Linked DNA regions of Pelodiscus sinensis. The protein of the gene in region 2 purifies or fractionates together with the protein of the main gene of each other region. This does not show direct contact. Links are inferred from orthologs where the notes say so. Each region holds a gene or a part of one and is shown on either strand. Other genes may lie near its edges.

What was found. The genes of interacting proteins can lie anywhere in the genome.
Region 1: the proteins of EFTUD2 (region 2) and TOP1 purify together in Homo sapiens (affinity purification with mass spectrometry; 3 studies listed by BioGRID and IntAct, with this or other methods). This does not show direct contact. The link is inferred for Pelodiscus sinensis from reciprocal best matches to the Homo sapiens genes EFTUD2 and TOP1.
Region 3: the proteins of EFTUD2 (region 2) and PPIH purify together in Homo sapiens (affinity purification with mass spectrometry; 3 studies listed by BioGRID and IntAct, with this or other methods). This does not show direct contact. The link is inferred for Pelodiscus sinensis from reciprocal best matches to the Homo sapiens genes EFTUD2 and PPIH.

The regions. Positions count from the first base shown.
Region 1 is NC_134728.1:25,119,776-25,127,414, reverse strand, and holds the start of TOP1 (DNA topoisomerase 1), read left to right. Parts: upstream 1-4,638; 5' UTR 4,639-4,783; coding exon 4,784-4,816; intron 4,817-5,540; coding exon 5,541-5,565; intron 5,566-7,639. UniProt on the Homo sapiens protein: Releases the supercoiling and torsional tension of DNA introduced during the DNA replication and transcription by transiently cleaving and rejoining one strand of the DNA duplex.
Region 2 is NC_134739.1:148,891-156,547, forward strand, and holds the start of EFTUD2 (116 kDa U5 small nuclear ribonucleoprotein component), read right to left. Parts: upstream 3,010-7,657; 5' UTR 2,851-3,009; intron 1,973-2,850; 5' UTR 1,969-1,972; coding exon 1,864-1,968; intron 1-1,863. Other genes in the region: DNAAF19 (Ig-like V-type domain-containing protein FAM187A), read left to right, coding at 4,489-4,657, 6,087-6,240. UniProt on the Homo sapiens protein: Required for pre-mRNA splicing as component of the spliceosome, including pre-catalytic, catalytic and post-catalytic spliceosomal complexes. Component of the U5 snRNP and the U4/U6-U5 tri-snRNP complex, a building block of the spliceosome.
Region 3 is NC_134733.1:3,182,959-3,189,990, forward strand, and holds the start of PPIH (peptidyl-prolyl cis-trans isomerase H), read right to left. Parts: upstream 3,002-7,032; 5' UTR 2,751-3,001; coding exon 2,685-2,750; intron 2,318-2,684; coding exon 2,253-2,317; intron 1-2,252. UniProt on the Homo sapiens protein: PPIase that catalyzes the cis-trans isomerization of proline imidic peptide bonds in oligopeptides and may therefore assist protein folding. Participates in pre-mRNA splicing.

The DNA of each region.
Region 1 (7,639 bases), on a different chromosome or scaffold from region 2:
TGATGCAGCTGCATCAGTAGCTAAAATCCCAGCATAAACCTAGGTTCTATTTTCAGTTCTGACTTGCTGTGTGACCTTGACCAAGTTATTTAAAGCCACGTTTTTGAAAGTGCTCTCTTATTTGAGGTTTTTTTTCTTTTTTTTCTTTTTTGCAGGGAAGTGCCCAGATTGAGACACCTGGACCTACTTTTCAGAATGCTGAGCACCCACAATCCTCCTGGACTTCAGCTGGAGTTTGGCGTTTACAGCACTCTTGAAAATTAGGCCCAAGGTTTCTCACGTTGTGCACTTCAAAATAGAGGCACTCAGATGTACAGGTTTTACCTCCAAAAACTGGCACTCTCTGGTCTGGCAACATCTGTGGTCCAGCAGATGTTTATGAACCAGAGAGCCCAGAAGCCTCAGGACAGGAGTGCCAGCCCGGCTGGGGACAGCGCAGGACTGAGTTCAGAGCCCTGTGGCAGCTTCCAGCAGTCCGTGGCAGTGTGGGGTTAGGGCCCAAGTCCCACAGCAACGCAGAGTGGAGTCTCTTGGCAGCCCCTTAGAGCATGTAGCTGGGGCTCCACAGCACGCTCCTGGGAGCATGAGGTTGAAGTCAGAGCCCCACAGCAGCCTCCTGGAGCAAGGGGCAGGGACCAGGAGCCAGACCCTGTGCCTTCCAGGGAGCCAGCAGCAGCTGGGTGAGCAACCCAACCAGGTTGGGAGAGGGGGGATGAGGCAGGGTGCCTGCTGGGACAGCCTGCCAGCAGCAGGCAATAGGCTTGGGAGCCAGTGGCAGGAAACCCCCCCTTAGTCCAGGAAATCCTCTCATTCAGGACTGGTCAGGTCCCAATGGTTCTGGGACCATTAGTTTCTCTGATTTAGTTCTTCTAGGTTCAAAATAGGGATATTATGCCCTTCCACAGCATTTTCCACCTAAGGGGGAAATATTAGACATTGTACTTGGAAGGGACACTGTCCTTAAATAGAGGTACCAAATTTAGGCTTAGGAATTGATAAAAAAATTCATATAAAACCTAATGTAAAAAGAATCTTTAGATAAACATTTCCCTGCAGTGTTGTGAATGTCACAGCAATAGGTGTTACTGCATGAGAAACAGAATGTGAAATTGACTAGGGGGGAAAAAAAATGAAGTGAAACTGACTAACTCAATTTCAGCCATAAAGCGAGGGAACCATTCTAGGGACACTGATTCAATGAAATGGTTTCCTTGTATTTGTAACATTTCAGCATCGTAATGGAGCCATCTTGTTGCACCACATACATACCATGCAAGAGTAGTTTTTCCAGAGCATTCTGGGATCCCTGAAATGCCTATTTCATAATGCCCAGTACTGTACTACTGCTGATAGATAGCAGGACCTATGGTGTAGTTTCCAAATATGAGGCTCTGCACTGGGAGATGGAGTTAGGAAGAGTGGCTGTGTCAGCTCATGTTAGGGAGAATCATTTTTATAGGTTAGCAGTAAAGAGCTTGTGACTCAGAAGAGTTTGGATTTTAACCAGTAGAAGGCAGTGTTAATACACACGCATCACCCAGTTCATTACCAAACTACTGAATGTATTTCACAATGTGCAATGCATTTGAAGAGATTCATGACAAATAGCTGAAGATATAATTTTCCCCTCATAATATGATTTAAAAATGTTTGGTTTCATTCCTTTCCTGTTATGTATCCTCTTTCTTTCCATATAGACTCTTGACTCCAATAATAATGGCAACTATGACAGCAAATGCAAGCTTTCGTGTAATAAAGCAAGCCAATATCAGCTACTATTCCCTAACTAGTAATTACCCATGATTGCTCCAAACCTCTCCCTTCCCAGGTGCAACTCAGTAATTAAAACTAGCCTTTGGAAGTTCCAACTCACAATGACATCTGCTAGTTCTGCTGTATTTTGCTTCTGCCCCTACATATAAAACTGTGAATTATTGCAGTGATTTATCAAGGCGGAAAACAAGGAGTGCTTTTGAAAGCACTGTGCTCATTTAGTTTCAAAGCATAATAGGTATGGATATTTCTGAGCAGGTTATTCTAATAATGAATGATGGCAGTTATGTATGTGATTGTTCATCTTTTGTCCAACTCTTTTCTTCTGGTGACAAGCTCACAAGACTAGCTCTGATATGGAATCCAGGAAACCCTGTTAGGGATCTCTAAGCATTATTTTAATGGACGTTGGCAATAGGTACTTGCAGCTTTGACAAATCCAAGCATTCAAAAAATCATGGGTCAGACTCTCCCAGCCCCCTCAAAATTATAAGATTTAATTTTTAAACAAGAAATGCTGGGTTATTTCTCTTTGGCATCTGGTTTCTGTGCTTTTAAGATGCACTTACTTCTCCCTTACAAGCTTTTCACTACAACCACGAGGGTTGGAGCCTTACTTTTTCTTTTAAAACAAAGTTGAGATTCTCATGCAGTCTTTTGATTCTAGTAGCCCAGGCTTTAAGAAAATACACCCAGGCTGAGTCTAGACTGGCAAGTTTTTCCGCAAAAACAAGTGCTTTTGCGGAAAAACTTGCCAGCTGTCTACACTGGCCGCTTGAGTTTCCGCAAGAACACTGACGATCTCATGTAAGATTGTCAGTGTTTTTGAGGAAATGCTATGCTGCTCCCGTTCAGGCAAAAGCCCTCTTGCGCAAATGCTTTTGCACAAGAGGGCCAGTGTAGACAACGCGGTATTGTTTTGCGCAAAAAAGCCCCGATGGCGAAAATGGTGATCAGGGCTTTCTTGCGCAAAACCACATCTAGATTGGCAAGGATGCTTTTCCACAAAAAGTGCTTTTGTGGAAAAGCGTCCATGCCGATCTAGACGCTCTTTTCTGCAAATGCTTTTAACGGAAAAACTTTTCCATTAAAAGCATTTGCGGAAAATCATGCCAGTCTAGATGTAGCCCAAAAGTTCTGAGACTTACAGTATAATCAGGAAAGGAGGCAGTTTTATACATATGTATTGTCTCACACGCTTTTTTGCACTATGGAAGCAGGTCAAAGATCTGGATCTGTCGTTTTTTAAATCTAGATTGGATAGAACTTGAGTACTGTGTTCTATCTCATACAATAGATAGAACACAATACTTGTTGCTAAGGCTTTGCTAGAAGATAAACCTTGTCTCAGGCTCCTTTAAAACCTTTGTGTTGATCTTCTTGCAGTGGTGGTTTTTTGTTTTCTTTTTTAAACTTAAAAAACAACGAATAGTCTAGTCACTTTAAAGACTAACAAGACAACGTGAGTTTTGCCCACGAAAGCTCATGATACCATCTACATGTTTGGTTAGTCTTTAAGTTGCTACTAGACTATTCATTGTTTTTTATGTTTTTTGAGTTACAGACTAAGTTGGCTGTAACTAACCAACTTGACTAACCCTAACCCCCCCTCTGATTTTGAGGGGGAGGGTGTTTGTGTGAGAACATACCTTGGTGCTAGTTTGAGCGACATCACAGAATGCATTAGTTGGTGGTTGGTCCAGCAGTCACCAGCATCGATCATAGCACAAATAATACATACATCAATATGGTCCTGAGACTGGACGATGACATAATCAAGCAAGTGCCAGTGTCCCGATCGTGGGTATCACCAGGAGAACTTGAAAAAATTCTTCTGCCAGAACAGGGTGTTCATTATAACACCCTGTGTTCGTCTTGTTATAACGAACAATCTTAAATAAAGCATAACACAGCAGCAAGCAAAGACAAACAGCTGAAGTGGTGGGCTAGGCGTGATACAAACACTCAATTAGTCACAGTCCCTGTCCCAGAGAGTTTACAATCTAATTTATAAACTATGACTTTGAAAATGAGCAATTAAAATTACACTTGAACCCTTCCTGTGCCAGGGAATAGGCACATTGGGAGGGAAAGTTGTGGGATGGGAGATTCCCTGGGCTTCCTTAGGGGATGCAACCCTATATACTCTCATCCACTTCTTGCTATTGTCTCAGCCTGCTTGAAGGGCTCTAATATATTGTCCATCCTGATCTCCCAGCAGATGTGCACCCCTGTACTGGGAGCACCCAGCATCGCTCCAACAGCTGTTTGATCCCTGTTCTGTGTACTGGGGTCAGAGGCAGCTGAGGAGAGCTGTATAGGAAGCAGGTCAGAAAATAAAGCTGTGGCTGCTCTCCAGCTTTGATACCTTGCTCCTCTGCCCTTCTAGTGCAACCCTTTAGTTGTAGCTGACAGTCAGCAATTGGTGATGCTTGCAAAGAAAGGGGCGGGGCTTCAGATGCAAATAAAGCCTCCCTGCAGGAGAGTTTTTGCGCATGAGCGTTACGTGCGCCTTGGGACAGGCTTTCATCCTATCCGCCGTGGGAGGTCCGGAGCATTCCCTCCGAGGAGGCGTGGTCGGATATGCAAATCAAAGAGGGACTTCTTGACTAATGGGGCGGGACCGGATATGTAAATTTCCCGGCGTTCTGAAAGGAGGGAAAAGAGCAGAGTACGCAAATAGCTAACCGGCGTTTTTCGTAAATGGCAGAGAGGGGGGAAAAGGGGCGTGGCTCTCCATACAAATCTAACCTAGAGTTCTGAGAGCAGGGCGGAGGAGGCGTGGTCGAGCAATGCAAATACTGGAATTCACTCCTCTGTTCCACCTCCCCGTCCCAGCCCCTCCTCTGGGTTAAAAGCAGCGGCGCCTGCGCAGTGAGGGGAAATGAGGACTTAGTCTGTTACACAACTGGCTGCCGAGCTGAGTGAGGGGGTTGCAATCTCCCTTCGGCCACAGACTCCGCTGCTCCCAGGCGCCTCTGCTCCTGTGTAGGCCTCCCCACCAGCCGGCATGAGCGGGGACCAGCTGCACAACGACTCCCAGGTGAGGGACCCGTGCGCCCCCCTATGCCCCAGACATTTGGGGCCCTCCAGCCCCCCAATAATCCCTCAGGCAGTGGAGATGCCCCGGATCCCCCTTGTATCCTGTGGGGCCACGGGGTGCCCCGTCCTCCGTATCACCTTAGTGGGAGAACCCCTCCCCCACCGAGAGCTCTGGATCCCTTCTCCCCTTGGTTCCCCCTCCCCATTTGCCCTCGGACACTCAGGGTGGGATGCCTTGATCCCTGCCCTGGGGCACCTCCGGCCTCTCTGTGATTGGCGATTTCCCTATAAAGGGTCTGTAACTCCCCCCGCCCCGCATGAAAATCCCAGCCAAGCCACATAGTGGGGGAAGGGATTTTTTTTACCCTGTCTTCCCTTTAAAAGCGCGCTCCAGAGAGGGTGGGAAGCTTCCCCCTTTACATGGGGGGGGGGGGGAAGGGTGTCGGGTTGAAGGGAGACCCGGAGAATGGGTGCAGAAGCATGAGGGGGGGGGACTCGAAATAGGTGGGGGGAAGGTTGAAACTTTGGGGCGCTAGGGAGTCTGAATTTCGCCCCCTGCCCTTGGGATGGGGGATACGCGTCTCGATACCAATCGGGGGCTGCTGAGTCGATTTCCTCCTCCTTCGCCTAAAACTGTCCCTGGATCGGGCTCCTGCTGGTTTTGAAAATATCCGTATTCTGGTGTGTGTGTGGTTTTTTTTACTCGCTTCCCCTTGTCCTTACAGATCGAGGCGGATTTCCGAGCGAACGGTGAGTGTGTGCCCCCCACCCCCGTCTTTTGGGGGCGATTTACCCCACTTTGCCTCCGCTTTCGCTCCCCCCTTCTGTGTTCCTGAGGATGGTAAAGGACAGACATGGCGTCCCAGAGACTAAGTCCCGTCTCCTCGCTCACCGGCCCCATTGTTCCCATCGAGCTGCTAAATGCTCCCGCTTCCGAGGGGCTTAGGTCCTACCTGACCCCCTCTTCCCCTAGTGGGGGCAACGCAGGCCCCAGATCCGACCCCTCCGGGGTCCCTGGAGTCCCCTTTGGGCCCCGATTCCTCCCTAGAAAGTCGCCTTATCGACGGTCGGGACTTAGTCTCTGCGCCATTTTCTTTTTCTCTCTCCTCTCTCTTCTGTGTGTGTCTCTTTCTCTCCTTCTCCTCCTCCCCTGACTGCTGAGCAAGAGCCTCCTTCCGAGAAACACGGGAGAAATCGCCACTTCCCGACCCCCATACCCTCCCAGAGAGGGGGAAGGCAAAGTGTTTTTTTTTTTTTTTTTTTTTTTTAGGTTTAATAAATCACCAAGCTGCTTTTATTCAACCCTCTCCTGCTCAGTTTTGTTTCTTTCAGTCAATCCCTCTCATCCTCTAAAATGAAAGGTGGTTGCAACATGTTGCTCTTTAAAAGATTCTGCTGCATCCATTTTAAAATCAATCTTATTTCTTTCTGTGCTGTTTAATTGATTTAACTTTACCTTGTTAGGTAGAGAATTTTAATTGTGGTTTTTTTTAACATTTTTTTTTAAAAAGCAGTGTAAGCAATTCCAGAACAGTAGACAGCATCACTTCAGAAAGTTTGCAAGTTGGCTGTTCATTTTTGGGGAATAGGTTGTAGGAGCCCTGTAGGTGATTGCATTTTAGGAAGAGGATGATTACTAATTTTTACATACTGTTAGATGGCATATTGGTTTCATTTTTTTCCAGAGCTGGTGGGTGGTATACTTAAAGGTGGGGGGAGGGGTAGTTTACAGCTTGCTTCTGCATGCATATGTCACTGTCAAGCCACTGGCTTTATGTGAAGAACTCTGTCCCCTAAGCAATGGGGGTGGAAGGCTGGGGGAGGGGGGGGGGAGGATGATGTGCTTGTTACCTGGCCTGAAATATGTAAAAGTGTTTTGAGTTCACTCCACTTATTTATAAATGTGGTTTCATCTTGCCTCCCAGTCCCATTGCAAATACTGTTTTTTGAATACTACAATCTTGATGTTTGTAATCATTGCAGTAGCGTTCTGGACAATATGTTTGATGCCTACTTGCTTGGCTAAATGCTATAAAATATTTGTGAATATTTACATGTTATATTTGTGTATGCACATCATTGGTACTTGTGCATATCAATGCATTTTATAGATAATATATATGAATGTACATTTGTGTAACAGTAGTGTGTGTATATGTACAAATATACTATTTATAAACATTCTTTCCCCTACAAAATAATGCTAAGTAAATCATTATTTAAAGGGGGAAGGGAAGAGCCTTCTTTCCCTGGAACTGCAATAAGCATTTTTAGAATTCAGTATAAATTTGTCTATAAATATTTGTAACCTCTTTGTGCTGGAAATATTTGCTTAAAGGTTAGTTTTGCTAGTGGGAAAAAAACTTGCTGATTTTAGATGTGGAATAATTGACTCCTCCAGTCCTGCTTCCAGTGGACAGTCTTAACAGGGTTTTCCCCCCAGATATTAAGGCTAGCTGTACATTGTTTTTATTGTTCCCAATAAGGAGTGGTTTAGGAAAATAGACATTTAATACCTCTTTGACTTTGTGGGTTTTTCTTGTCTTTTCGCAACTGCTGATGGGATTCTAGTACACACATCTCAAGCAATATCTGGAGAATCAGATGTGCCTGAAATTCATCAGTCACATGAAGGTGTCATAGAACTCTTCCTCCCCATCTTGATTCCAAGTTTTCCTTTGACTATCATCATTGTCGTTTGTCTTAGGCAACAGAAAGGCAAAGTCCTCTTCTTTGCTCAGTGCTTCATTTGCTAGTCTTTTTTAAGGAGTAGTGCTGTTGATAGTTCATGTCCTTTCTGACCTTGCTACCAAAGCTGAACCTA
Region 2 (7,657 bases):
ATGTGCTGGGAGTATCACTGCGGTCCCCGGGGCTTCCAAAGTTGAGTAGCCCTGATCTAGATCATATCCAACTGCAGTGCAGGCCCCAGTCTTTCTGTATCAGGCACCTTTCAAAGTCAGGTCCAGAAAAAGGTTGTGAGGGGCTTCCCATTTTTCAGTTTGGAGGCCATTTTCCCACCTGGAATCCATTTCAGATAGCCACAATGAGCAGCAGGTCATCTTTAAAACAGATCCCAACGCCATATGCAAGTGATGCTTACACGGCAGGCAATCGATAGTAATACCCAGTACACAACATACCCATGGACACACCACATCAAAGTGAAGCTACCAAACCCTGTGCATGAAACCCCCAAATCCCAGTTGTGTGGGAGCTGTGATTTCACCAGTACAATAATGACTATTTTACATGTACATATAAATACTCACACCATAAGGAATTCTATTTCTTTAAAGCAGAGGTGAGGAACCTTTTTTGGATAGGGGCCCCTGACAAACAAACCAAACCAAACCAATCCTCACTGATGTGGCTCAACTGAGAATGAGAAAGACATTCCCCTTGCACGCCAGAACTTTGGGGGCCCAGGCTAGTAGATGTAGTAGTTCAGTTTTGTGCACTCCAGCCCCATGGAGGAATAGTGAAGGGGCTGGAGCACTAGCGTGGGGACCCCAACCCTGAGGGGGACCCCAAGCCTCGGAGGCTGGATCTAGGAAAGCCAGGGGCCACATCCGGCCCCCAGGCCTCAGGTTCCACACCCCTGCTTTAAAAGAATAGCAGTGATTAGTTCCAATTTCTTAGATCATTGAAGATCTACCAAAAATTCAGTGAAAAAGAAATTTTCAACACCACTGCTAAACATACCACTGTTTCTTTTTTCATAAATACCATTCACATTCCTCGCTTCTCTAAATGTTCTTACACCAAGCTCACCACCAGACTCTGAATGCCTCCCAGACGTGCTTTAAACCATATGATGAACATGTCATGTCTTGGGGCTAACTTCTCTTACTTGGAGACACCAGAAAGTATCAGTAAAAATGAGCGATAGTCTACAGCTCTTGCTTAAAACATGAAAATCCTATTTGAATGTGCCCAGTAAAGGGGAAACTCACTTAAAACAGAGTAAGTTTCTTATTTTGTCCCACGTTCAAGACAAAATTCCTTGTCTTTTTCTGGCTATCAACAGGGCAGCCTAGTAGATTTTTTATTTTTATTATATTTTTATATACTTTGTTTTTGTAAATCTATTAAATCAGAATATTTAATAGTACATAAACATTTTCCTTCAAAACTCTAAGTAAGCTTGGTGTTGGGTTCTTTCTCTCTCACTTACTTACATTTTCTGGGGCCAGGAGACACTGACTCAGAAGAAATACAGGCTGAACCTCTCTAAATCGGGACTTTGGTCTGGCAACATCACACCACAGATGTTCCAAGACCAGAGTTCCAATGAAGAGCTGGCAGCCTAAAGCCCTGTGGGCTGACAGTCGGGCTGCCCAATTGGGCCTGGAAGCACAGTGGGGCTGACAGGGTAACGATGCCAACGGCAAGGGGTGAGCAGGCTGGGAGGTCATCAGCCAGGTCAGGGCTGGGGGGCCAGAAATGACCTCCCCTGGTCCGGCACAATCCCTCATTGTCAGGGATGAGGGACGGGTCAGGTCACAAGGGTGCCGGACCAGAGAGGTCCAACTTGTAATTACTTTTCAGCTTGCATCAGATGTCTGTGGATAACTACAGTCTTGATTAAACTTCAGGAGAACGGGAGGAGGACAACTAAGACCAGAATAACTTTCATTTCAGTTTTACATTATTTTGGTGCCATTTATGATAAACGAAGGCTTTTTGCACAAGTTTCACTGCACCTCATCAAGATCCTTGGACTCTCTACCCAGTTCATCGTCGTCGTCATCCGAGTCGAGCTCTGGCCCGATATAATTCCCGAACTCGTCATACAAGTCTGTGTCCATGATGCTACCGTGAGAGAGAAAGTCACGTGTAACGAGACTCCTTGGGGCAACGGTTTCCCGGCACCAGGGACGAAGCGGAGTCCTGCCCCCGACCCCCACCCTTGCCAGTTGAATTATTTATGAAACATCTGACAACTGCCCAGTGCGCCCCTACTCCCCCCCAGCCCGCCCAACACCCCGCCCACGTCACCTCCCTCCGAGCCCCCTCCTGAGCAATCAGTGCCCATCCCACAATGCACCGCGGCCACCCCATCCCCACGAGACCCCCTCTCCCAGCCCGTCACCCGCCCCAGGGCCCCCAGCGCCCCGCCCCCTCCAGAGCGCCCCCACCCCCCAGCGCCCCCCCGGCCCGCCCGTCACCCGCCCCAGGGCCCCCAGCGCCCCGCCCCCTCCAGAGCGCCCCCACCCCCCAGCGCCCCCCGGCCCGCCCGTCACCCGCCCCAGGGCCCCCAGCGCCCCGCCCCCTCCAGAGCGCCCCCACCCCCCAGCGCCCCCCGGCCCGCCCGTCACCCGCCCCAGGGCCCCCAGCGCCCCGCCCCCTCCAGAGCGCCCCCACCCCCCAGCGCCCCCCGGCCCGCCCGTCACCCGCCCCAGGGCCCCCAGCGCCCCGCCCCCTCCAGAGCGCCCCCACCCCCCAGCGCCCCCCGGCCCGCCCGTCACCCGCCCCAGGGCCCCCAGCGCCCCGCCCCCTCCAGAGCGCCCCCACCCCCCAGCGCCCCCCGGCCCGCCCGTCACCCGCCCCAGGGCCCCCCAGCGCCCCGCCCCCTCCAGAGCGCCCCCACCCCCCAGCGCCCCCCCGGCCCGCCCGTCACCCGCCCCAGGGCCCCCCAGCGCCCCGCCCCCTCCAGAGCCCCCTAGTCCCCCCCGGCCGGCCCCACTCACCCGCCGCCGCCTCCGGCCGCCCCTGCTCCTCGCCTCGCGCTCCGCGCCTTCCGCTCCCTCCCGGCAGCCGCTGCGACACCAGCGCGGAAGGACCCGGGGCTGGCCCCTCGCCTGCCCAACGGGCCGCTGGGATTCCCGCTGCAGCCCGCGCCGAGGCCGAGGTCGGGGTGGGGCGGGGCGGGGGGGTCGCAGGCCTGGGTCCGGCTGGCTCCGCGGGGCCGGGGCCGTTTCGGCGGAGCCGGATCTGATCAGGCGCGTGGCACGGACAGCCCTAGCCGGGGGCCTCGGCGCCGCGCCGCTCGTTGCTATGGAGACCGCCAGGAAGCCGGGCTGCGGCGTGGGCCGTGGCGAGGCGCGGGAAGGGGGATCGATCCCAACCCCCCCCCCCCCCTCCCCAGCGAGCGGCTAACGGGCCCCCCGCGGCAAGCGGCGCTGGGCGCCTCTGCAGGGCGATGGGGGGAGGCGGGGGGGCCTGGAGGGGGCGATGGGGGGAGGCTGGGGTGATGTGGGGGGAGGCTGGGGGGCCTGGAGGGGGCGGTGGGGGGAGGCTGGGGTGATGTGGGGGCAGGCTGGGGGGCCTGGAGGGGGCGGTGGGGGGAGGCTGGGGTGATGTGGGGGGAGGCTGGGGGGCCTGGAGGGGGCGGTGGGGGGAAGGCTGGGGTGATGTGGGGGGAGGCTGGGGGGCCTGGAGGGGGCGGTGGGGGGAAGGCTGGGGTGATGTGGGGGGAGGCTGGGGGGCCTGGAGGGGGCGGTGGGGGGAGGCTGGGGTGATGTGGGAGGAGGCTGGGGGGCCTGGAGGGGGCGATGGGGGGAGGCTGGGGTGATGTGGGAGGAGGCTGGGGGGCCTGGAGGGGGCGATGGGGGGAGGCTGGGGTGATGTGGGGGGAGGCTGGGGGGCCTGGAGGAGGCGGTGGGGGGAGGCTGGGGGGCCTGGAGGGGGCGATGGGGGGAAGGCTGGGGTGATGTGGGGGGAGGCTGGGGGGCCTGGAGGGGGCAGTGGGGGGAGGCTGGGGTGATGTGGGAGGAGGCTGGGGGGCCTGGAGGGGGCGATGGGGGGAGGCTGGGGTGATGTGGGGGGAGGGTGGGGGGCCTGGAGGGGGCGATGGGGGAAGGCTGGGGTGATGTGGGGGGAGGCTGGGGGGCCTGGAGGGGGCGGTGGGGGGAGGCTGGGGTGATGTGGGGGGAGGCTGGGGGGCCTGGAGGGGGCGATGGGGGGAGGCTGGGGGGCCTGGAGGGGGTGATGGGGGAAGGCTGGGGTGATGTGGGGGGAGGCTGGGGGGCCTGGAGGGGGCGATGGGGGGAGGCTGGGGTGATGTGGGGGGAGGCTGGGGGGCCTGGAGGGGGTGATGGGGGAAGGCTGGGGTGATGTGGGGGGAGGCTGGGGGGCCTGGAGGGGGCGATGGGGGGAGGCTGGGGTGATGTGGGGGGAGGCTGGGGTGATGTGGGGGGAGGCTGGGGGGCCTGGAGGGGGCGATGGGGGGAGGCTGGGGTGATGTGGGGGGAGGCTGGGGGGCCTGGAGGGGGCGATGGGGGGAGGCTGGGGTGATGTGGGGGGAGGCTGGGGGGCCTGGAGGGGGCGATGGGGGGAGGCTGGGGGGCCTGGAGGGGATCGTGAGGGATGCCAGACACAGGGAGCAGATGCTCAGCTTGCCACCCCCTGCCCCCTCCTCCCAGTGCTCCATGTGGCTTGAAAGTTTGTCTATTGGACCCCCCATTGCTGCTGCAGGAGACAAGCTTTCCAGCTACACCAGCTCTTCCTTCAGCACCCTGAACTTAAACCCTGGGTGCCACGCTGCACCCCCTTGTGAGGATGTTAAGGACTAGTCAACTATTCGATAAACAAAACGTGGCGCTGCCGCTTTGAAATGCCACGCGGAGCCCAGGATCAGCTGGGGAGTCCAGAGCTGACCCAGGCGCCGCGCAGCATTTCCTTGGCACCCGGGATCAGCTGGGGACTTTCCAGCTGATCCTGGGCTCCGCATGCAGCATTTCAAAGCACGCGGAGCCTGGGGTCCACTGGGGAGTCCCCAGCTGATCCTGGATTACTTGGAAATGCCACGCAGAGCTCGGGATCAGCTGGAAAGTCCTCAGCTGACCCCATCTCCGTGCAGCATTTCAAAGTAACCCTGAGTCCCCTGCTGACCCCAGGCTCTGTGCAGGCATTTCTGCTTTGACATGCACAAGAGCCACTGCTGAGGATTCTTGTACAGTTCAAAGCTGCCCTCCCCTCCCCCTTTTGCTCTTGTGCATTTCGATGCAGAAGCGCCTGCACGCAATCCGGAGTCAGCAGGACTTCCCGCTGGCCCTGGGCTGCACGCAGAGTTCCGAATTCCCCCTTTGAAATGTACAAGAGCCTCCACTGGGGAATGCGGAAGTGCAGGGGCTCTTCTACATTTCAAAGGAGGAATGCGGAAGTGCCGATCGACTACTCGACTAGTAAATTAACCAGTATTTAACATCCTTACCCTCTTGTGTACTTTGGGAAGGGCCTCACTCCAGGAGTATTGCCATGAAACAGGAGATTTGCAGAGTATTGTGCTACTCAGCAAGAGGAAAGGTTCCTGCCTGGCACATAGGGCTTTCTATTTACTGGCATCTGAATCTGACCTTGAATATTTTACACTCTCCCCACATGCCTATTGCCGATTTGTAAACTTTTAGGCTTTATTAACTGAAAAACAATTAGGAGTCCTCTGGCGCCTTAAAGACTAACAGATTTCTTTGGGCTGCTTATGCCCACATAAATCTGTTGGTCTTCAAGGTGCTCACAGGAGGAGTTCTAGTTTTCACAGATACAGATGAACACAGTTGCCCCCTGAGACTTTATTAACCACCACATTCTTAGTGGGGGATTTTAGCAAAGTTTGTGTGACAGCAGCCTTCAGTTAATGTTCAGGGAGTGTGATGATCAAGCAATACACAATAACACCTGTTTTATGTGACAAACTGTGACTCCAGAACAAAACCACTTTGTGTAGTAGAGGTTGGTCTTTAACAACAGATTAAAAATTGCACTGGAGACTTGGGCATCCTTTCAAGTGGTTATTTAAGACAGGAGTTTGCTTGACTGAGGTGGGATCATTAGCACATGACACACTCTAGTAGTTACTTACAGTAAGTCTAGCAAGAATTCTGGGGATGAAATGGGTGGCTGTGAAAGAGAAAGGAGTACTGTATTCTCTTTGTGTGATGCTTATGCACTAAAGTCACTCTTGTGGTTTTTATGTTTTGCTCTTAGATCTTTGGAATGGAGGAGGCTGAAGCAATAGATTTTTGTGCATTAGAGAGAGAGCTGCAGGCTGCTGTTGCTGCTGATGAAAAGTACCAAAGAGAAAATGATGCCAAGTTCCGAGCCGTTCACCAGAAGGTGGCATCCTATGAAGAGTTCAGGTTTGCAGGATTTTGGTTTCTTTGCGAGTCACAGTCTTGGGAATGTAACAATCGAACATTCTTTCGTTAGGATAAAAGTTTCATATTGATCACAGAATCATGGAAATGTAGGACTGGAGGGTGCCTTGATGTGTCATCTAGTACAATAAGCCCTTTTAAAAAATGTGTTTTTTTAGTGGTTAGGGAGAACAATTTATCCTCTTAAAACAACCTACTCTTTAAACCCTTGTCTTTTAAACAACCTTTTACGTACTTTAGGGCTATTATGTCCCCCTTCTGTCTTCTCCAGACTAACAATCCCATTATTTTCTGTCTTTCCTTGTAAGCCGTGTTTTCTAGACTTTCAATAATTTTGTTCCTCTCCTCTAGAGTTTCTCCACATCTTTCCTGAAGGGAAGTGCTCAATACTGAACAAAAAACTCCAGTTGCGGCCTTATCAGGCTGACTAGAGTGGAAGAATTATTTTTTGTGTCTTGCTTTCAGCATTCTGGTAATTTATCCAAGAATTATGCTTCCTTCTTTGCAGAAGAATTACATTGTTGATTTAATAACGAGTGGTCCAGTGGCACCTTAGAGACTAACCTGTCGTGGCGGGCCTGGGCGTCCTTCAGGCAGGGGCTGCTCTGGCTGGGCTGAAGCAACCCCTTCCTGAAATGGGGGGGCCACTCCAGCTCGGTCAGGCTTGACTGCTCCCCCACATACTCCCCCCATTAATTGGTTAACTGGGCAAACAATGTGTTTAACCAATTGAATGGGGTTTTGACATCCCTATTATCCAAATGATTTCTGAAGAAATTGAACAGAACCAGCCCCAGGACAGATCCCTGAGACCCCACTCAATCTGCCCTTCCAGCTTGGCTGTGACTACTCTCAGTTGCTTTTATAATGCCTTGTGCATCCCTCTTACAGCAGGTGCGTTTAGGCTGCGTTCCTCTAGTTTGTTGAGGAGAAGGCAGGTGAGACCGTATCAGGAGACTTGTCACATCTAATGCTTCTCCCTGTCCTCAAAGGCTTGTTGCTTTGTCAAAGAAGGAACATAAGGTTGGTTTGTTCTTGACAAATCCATGTTGACCACTACCTACCTGCTTATTATCTTCCCCTAGCAGACTCACCCTGTGCTGCCCGGGTCCCTCAGGGCAGGGCCTTGGGCATGTGGGAGGGGGGACAGGAGACTCAGGGGTGGAGAGTATGAGAATGGGGGCTGAGGAGGGGCTCAAGATGGGGGTATCGCACCTGCCCACCAGGGGCCTGTTCTCCCCCTCCCACAGGCCTGCTCAGCCTGCCAGGGGCCTGTTCCCTCCCCCCTCGTACCCTTCACCTGCCAGGGGCCTGTTCCCTCCCCCCTCGTACCCTTCACCTGCCAGGGCCTGTTCCCTCCCCCCTCGTACCCTTCACCTGCCAGGGGCCTGTTCCCTCC
Region 3 (7,032 bases), on a different chromosome or scaffold from region 2:
GGAGGTCTCTGATGGACGAAGTTACACATGTTCCTGTTCAGGCACTGGGCTGCCCAGTATGAAGAAGTCAGCCAACAGTGGGCCAAGTCAGTAATCTGCCATCTCTCGGGTGCATTGTGTGCAAAGATGCTTTGGGAGGAAGGGGCAAACATGAACACAGTGGGCTGCAGGGTTTCTGAATCGCACATATATCCCCAGGAGCAAATGGTTGAGCCCTCCTCTTTTTTGAGCATGTGGGAATAACTGCTTGGGTCAGGCATTCTTTCCCTAGGAACTAGTAAAAGTCTGGCCAGTCTGAAGTACAGCTGAGTTTTGCTCAATCTGCAGATTGAATCTCACAAGGAGACAGCATGGAATTTGGTGCCTAGGAGGTGATGGGAAGATACGGCAGTAAGGCCACTACATCTGCTAGGCAATTTCCATTACAGGAGACCTGATGTGGGATAAAAATCACAGAATACTAGAACTGGAAAGGACTTTGAGAGGTTATCTGCCCTCACAGCAGGACCAAGCACCATCCAGATCAGGGCTACTCAACTTTGGAAGCCACGAGGGCCACAATGATACAGCACATGCCAAGTGGCGCAACATAAGTGTGGTTGCACAAATATGCAAATATATATGCAAATACAGCGAGGAGTCCTGTGGCACCTTATAGACTAACGGATTTTGCAGATTCAGACTAACACGGTTACCCCTCTGATATATGGAAATAGCTTCTTTCACACAATGCCCCGGTGCTCCTGGCACCACCTTCCTGGGGGCTAGACACGCTGACACCCTGCACCCATCTGTTCCAGCCAGACTGTCCGCTTGCATCTTTCAATGCTCACCCCAGCTGGGAGACGCCTCGCCATTGTGAAGCACGTTCCCAGTGGAGGCCACGTTCAAAGGATCCCACCCGTGAGCCACGTGTTGAGCCCCACGTAAACCCGAACTGCATCATAGGCTGAAAACAAACATAGCCCTGATCTAGATCATCCCTGATAGATATCTATCCATCTTGCTCTTAAATATCTCCAGAGATTCCAAATCCTCCCTAGGCAATTTATTCCAGTGTTTAATCGCCCTGACAGTTAGATGCTACAGCCGTCGATCTTCCATCGTTCAATTCAGTAAAAACTAAAGATGTGAATGTGTACCCATATTCTGTAAATCTGTTCATGGTTACATCCATCCCTGCAGAGATACCTGCCTGCTAGCATGTAAATGTGTAACCACTGAAAAATTCAGCGGTTATACATTTACATAAATAAACGTATTTTAACATCCCTAGTAAATACAGTATAACTGAACAGTCGATTAACCTCATGAATTCTTATCAGTTACTTTACTATTCTACAGTCCCCAGGGGTGGGGTCAGCAGCCAGTGCACTCCAGCGCCACTCCTGGGGAGCGCTCTACCACTGCGCACTCCTGCCTCAGCACCAGTGCAGGGTAGCAGCAGCCCCTGTGTGAGGGTGGAGTCTGAGCTCCTGGACCCAACGTGAGCCGGAACTGAGCCAGGATGCCTGCCCACCCAGCTCCTAATACACTTTAAATGCAGAGCCACAGCAGGGGTAGATCCCAGACCCGTCGCAAGCCAGGACTGAGCCGGGCTGCTGGCCAGCCTACTAAAAAATTTACTGGTGGGGGGCTGGGGAGGAATGCATTAACCTATAAGCTTTTATTTATCAGTTAATCGACTATACTATTACATCCCTAATAAAGACCCCAATGAGGGTGCCACCATTGGCAGCAGTACTCCTATTTCTTGTGAAGAGTAAGGGAAGTTGACAGGAGCATTCCTCCTGTTGACCTTCTGCTGAGAAGACAGTGCCAAAGTATGGCATAAGATACGTCAACTCCAGCTATGTAAAAAAACAAAAACTTAACTTAAAATTGCGTACCTTAAGCTGACCTCCAGTAGTGTGGACCTGGCTTTTAGAGTCTTAACCCTGTCCCTTCCCTTTAAGGGATCTAAAAGTAAAAGTTAATTATCAAGGCAGTTAATTTCCTTGATGATCAAAGCACATGTTAAAGAGGAGGGCTGATACCCTACAGTGCACAATCTACTGCAGGCTGCAGCTCATAAGGCTGTCTCAAAGGGACACAACCTCCATTAAAATTGCTTCTCAGACCCCCTGGGCACTGTGCCAGGCAGGACTGCCCCACTGCTGGGCCAGAGAGCCGGGGCCTCCTCCAGCCAGTTGCTGCATGACCGATCCCCAGGCATTGGGCTGCCTCACTGGGAGCAAAGTGCCACAGGCTACCTGAAATTCTCCGCTGTTTTGGGCACAACATCTGCGAACAGCTCCACCTTCATGCGGCCAACTTCCTAGGGGGGAAAAGAGTGTCAGCGCCAGGCCCATGTCTAGGGCCAGGGCCCCTCTGCCCCCCCACCCTGCCCCCCCGGGGCCAGGGCCCCTCTGCCCCCCCCACCCTGCCCCCCCCGGGCCAGGGCCCCTCTGCCCCCCCCACCCTGCCCCCAGGGACCAGGGCCCCTCTGCCCCCCCCACCCTGCCCCCCGGGGCCAGGGCCCCTCTGCCCCCCCGGGGCCAGGGCCCCTCTGCCCCCCCCCACCTTGCCCCCCGGGGCCAGGGGCCCCTCCCCGAGCTCACTCTGCCCCCCACCCTGCCGCCAGAGCCCCCTCTGCCCCCCGCGGCCCCTTGCCCGCCCGGCCCTCCCCGCGGCCCCGCCCCCACCTGGCCGCCGATGCTGACATCGAAGAAGACCACGGGGTTGTTGGGGTTGGAGGCCAGCACCGACATGGCGACCCACCGGAACCGGAACCCGGACACCGGCCTCCTTCCGGCAACATGGCCTGCCCGGGTTCCGGTTCCGGACCCGCACTCGGAGGGAAGTTACATGGCTCCGGGGGACCCGCCAAGGGTTCGTCCAGCCCCGGCCACAGCCCGGCCGCGGGACTAGAGCCCAGCGCTGGCTAAAAGACCGGCCGCCCGGGAGATGCAGTGCGCAGGCGCAGCAGGGGCTGGGCGTGGCAAAGTGTGCTGGGAGTTGTAGTCCGCGGCTGCGTTCTGTGCTGCTTCTAGTCCCAGCATGCCCCGCGCCACTCCTCTTCCCGCCAAAAGACCGTCTCACGCGAGCCCGTAGCTCAGGGAGCGCTCCTATTGGACACGGTGCTACAGCGTGGGGGGGGGGGGGCGTAACTATGGTGACCCTATTCTCTGAACCAAAGTTAGGGACATATTAGCCACGCCCCTGAGCCCTACTAGCCACGCCCCTGAGCCCCACTAGCCACGCCCCTGAGCCTGCAATTGCATTGACCCGATTTGTGTCTCATTAATTGGGGGGGAGGGGGGACGCCGGGGGAAGTGTCCCCCTGAGGTTATGCCCACACTGGCGCCATCTTGCACCAGAGATATGCAAATGAGGCTAAGCGTGGAATATCGCCGAGCCTCGTTTGCATACCCAACGAGCCGCCATTGTCTGCACTGCCCCTCTTGCCAACGCCGCTAGTCCTGAAAATAATCGGCGTAGCGGCGTTGCACAAGGGGTTTCTTTTCCAAGCAGAAAAGTCCCAGTCTTGTTTCTCTCTCCTCATATGGAAGATGTTCCTTATCCCTAATCATTTCAGTTGCCTCTACTGTACCTTTTCCAACCCAATATATCTTTTTTTTTTTAGATGGGGTGACCAGATCTGCATAAACAAAATACAGGACTATGTAGCACTTTAAAGACTAACAAGATGGTTTATTAGATGATGAGCTTTCGTGGGCCAGACCCACTTCCTCAGATCAGATAGTGGAAGAAAATTGTCACAACCATCTATACCAAAGGATACAATTAAAAAAAAAAGTGAACACGTGATTTGTCCTTTTCATATGTGTTCACTTTTTTTAATTGTGTGTAATTGGGTTTGGAAAAGGTACAGTAGAGGCAACTGAAATGATTAGGGATAAGGAACATCTTCCATATGAGGAGAGAGAAACAAGACTGGGACTTTTCTGCTTGGAAAAGAAATGACTAAAGGATGGGAGGAGGATATGTTAGAAAATCATGAATGGCATGGAAAAAGAATAAGAAAACGTTATTTATTCTTTTGCTAACAACACAAGAAGCTGACCCAATTAAAACATTGATAGACAGCAGATTTAAAACAGACAAAATAAATTATTTTTTCACAGTCAATCCATGGAACTCTTTGGGGATCCCAGGGTGCAGCCTGGGACAGGGGTACTACTAACTCTCCAGCCTGGGCTGTCTCTCACAAGCCTTGCTAGTGACCCCTCTAAGTATTGCTCTCACTCAGGAAAACAGCACGTGGAGCCCCACAGCTAGGTAGATTCCATTCATGTTCCTTGAGCTACTCATGGATCACACACAGAGGCACCAAGTACACCAAGGCCTCAGCTCCTAGCACTGTATCTCAGGAATATACCATATAATTTATTAGTTGGTTCACCATTTTGTCAATAGTAAGTGCACTGATGCACTTAGTGAAGGATGCACAGGAGCTTTTTACTTTTGCTCACCATTTTGGACTCACAGTGAGCCTCAAGAGAACAGAAGTTTTGCCTCAGCTGGTCTGGAAAAAGCCCAGCACTCCAGTGATTGCTGCTGCTGGTACCGTCCTTAAGGGTGTTGACAAGTTCTGCTACCTGGGAAGTGTACTGTCCTCTGGCAGAAATGTGGATCATAATGTATCTGCTCAATTAGCCAAAGCCAGCGCTGCCTTTGGAAAACTAATCAAACGCCTATGGAATGACAGTGGTATTAAACTCCATACCAAGATAGTGGTTTATCAGGAAGTTGTCCTGAATGTCCTGCTGTAAGGCTCAGAGTCATGGACAATATATCGTCCCCATGTTTTGAAGTTCAATCAGTTCCATGTGCATTGTCTGAGGAAAATTGCCCACGTGCACTGGTGGGACAAAATTCCTAATACGGAGGCTCTTAAGCTGTGTGGTGTCACAGGCATGGAGGCAATGCTTATGAACAAACATTACACATCCATGATTAGATTTGTGTGCAGGAAATAGCTTTGGAACTAACCCTCTGAAGCTTCCCCATTGCCTGAATTAACCGGACCAAATCATTGGTCATTAAGATACCATAATTATAATGTCTAGACTGACCTTTGTAATAGATGATAAAGCCAAAATAAGGGGCACCTTAAAGTTTGATAATTCATGCCCTAAACTGTTAAATTTCCTGGCCACTTGCAATTCGTAATCTGGAGCCAATTCCCTCTAAGACAGTGGCTGTGTCATGGTGGACCCTTCTATGTTTCTTGCTAGCAGCGTTCAGCCACGACTCCCATCCTCATTGGAGTAGAGGTACAGGGAGGCAGCACAGGGAGGACACAGCTCCCTAACGGAGGGGTGTGCCACAACCTTATGTGTTTGATTGAATACTGTGGGTGGATTAACACAGTTCGATTAGCATCCTCCTGAATCTCCATCAAACCCATGGCACTTACAACAGGAACAGGAGGAACTAGAACTGATTTGGTGCACTAAACGCCATACGGATCAACTACTGACCACATTCAAGAATCTTTTAGAGCAACCTCAATCTGCATGGCCTCTCGAGGTCCCTTCCAGTCCAGGACTCTATGATTCTAAGTTGCAGCCTCCTCTTATATTCCTTTGCCATGTGGCTTGTACTGCCTTTCTTAGCACATAACTAAGGCTCAGAGTCATGGACAATATGTAGTCGCCATGTTTTGAAGTTCAATCAGTTCCATGTGCTTAGGCCTGGCCCTGCATATGCTGCTGAGCCTCAAGCTGTATCCCCTGCTTTCTCCATGGGCCAACTGAATAGCTGTTGGGCCAGGATGGGCCATCAAGCAGGCGAGGCAGAGCCTTGTCAAACTGTCTACGAGTGTGACCCAGAAACACAGCACAGGTTTTGTACCAGACAGCCGGACAGACACAGCCAGACCCTGAAAGCAAGAGCTGTACAAACACACCCGAGAGTCTGATAACAATATGGGGCAGCTAATAACACGTCCAAAGCCATGAATCACACCCTGGGTCAGCCACAAAGGGAGCCTGCCAAGCCCACCGTCCCCCATCCATCTAGGCCAGAACGGAGCACTGGATCATGCCCAAAGAGCTTTGCTTGTTTTCCTTCCACCCAGAACCCCCCTCTTCTCCTGGGCTGCCCAGAACCACCCTTGGGATGCCCTGAGACAGGCGCGGGACTCTGTCTCCCTGCAGCCCACTGCCCCCACAGGCTCTGGCAGAACAAAGGGGGGGGCCTGCTCGCCCCACTGTGGCTCTGAGCTTCTGCCCTGCCTCCCTCAGCTCGAGTTTCCATCTTTGCCCCATTCCTGCCTCTGGGCAAGTCACACAAAGGAGGCAGCAGAAAGAGCTGGCCCCATATGCCAGCCTCTGAGGGCAGGGGAGTCCAAGCCACCAGCATCCAACAGGACACCAGCCGGTGCCTTCCTACCATCGTCTGACGCAGAGCGTCAGCAGCCGTCCGCATGCTGGTCGCTGGGTGGCCTTCGCTCTGCGTTTGCTGTGCCAGAGGGTGGTCTCGGTGGCTGTCTGCAGGTCACGTGTCTGCCTGGTCCTTCCCTCTTGCCCTGCCCGGCCCTCGGTTGCTTTGTGGCTTTTAAGCCTTCCCTTGGTGCTGTCAGCACCAGCCTCCTCCTGCTTACGGTGCCCAGAGGAAACGGGAGCTGGGCTCCACCCTGGGGCTCCTCCTGCCTCCTGCTTTCCCCTGCCTTGTGAGCCTGGCCCTGGGCCTCCCTCCACGCACCACGGGAGCCAGGGGAAAGCAGGGTGGGAATTTCAGTCCGGCTAGAGATCTGGGAGGGCTGAGGTTGAGTTTCTCACTGCTTGACCTGATGCCCTCGTGTGGTCCCTGTTCCTGCAGCTGCCAGGCTCTGCCCCTTCACACTAAAGGGAGGGAGTCTCAGGGCTAGGCTGGGAGTCAAGGCAGGGAGGGGGCAGGGCGATTTCTCACCTTCATACAGCCTGTGCTTGCCACTGCCAGGCTGGCGTCTCCACACTGACTTCTTGACCATCAAACGTGCAGAATGTTGCACAGAGAGTTTGTCCCTGTTGGTGCCGAGCGCTC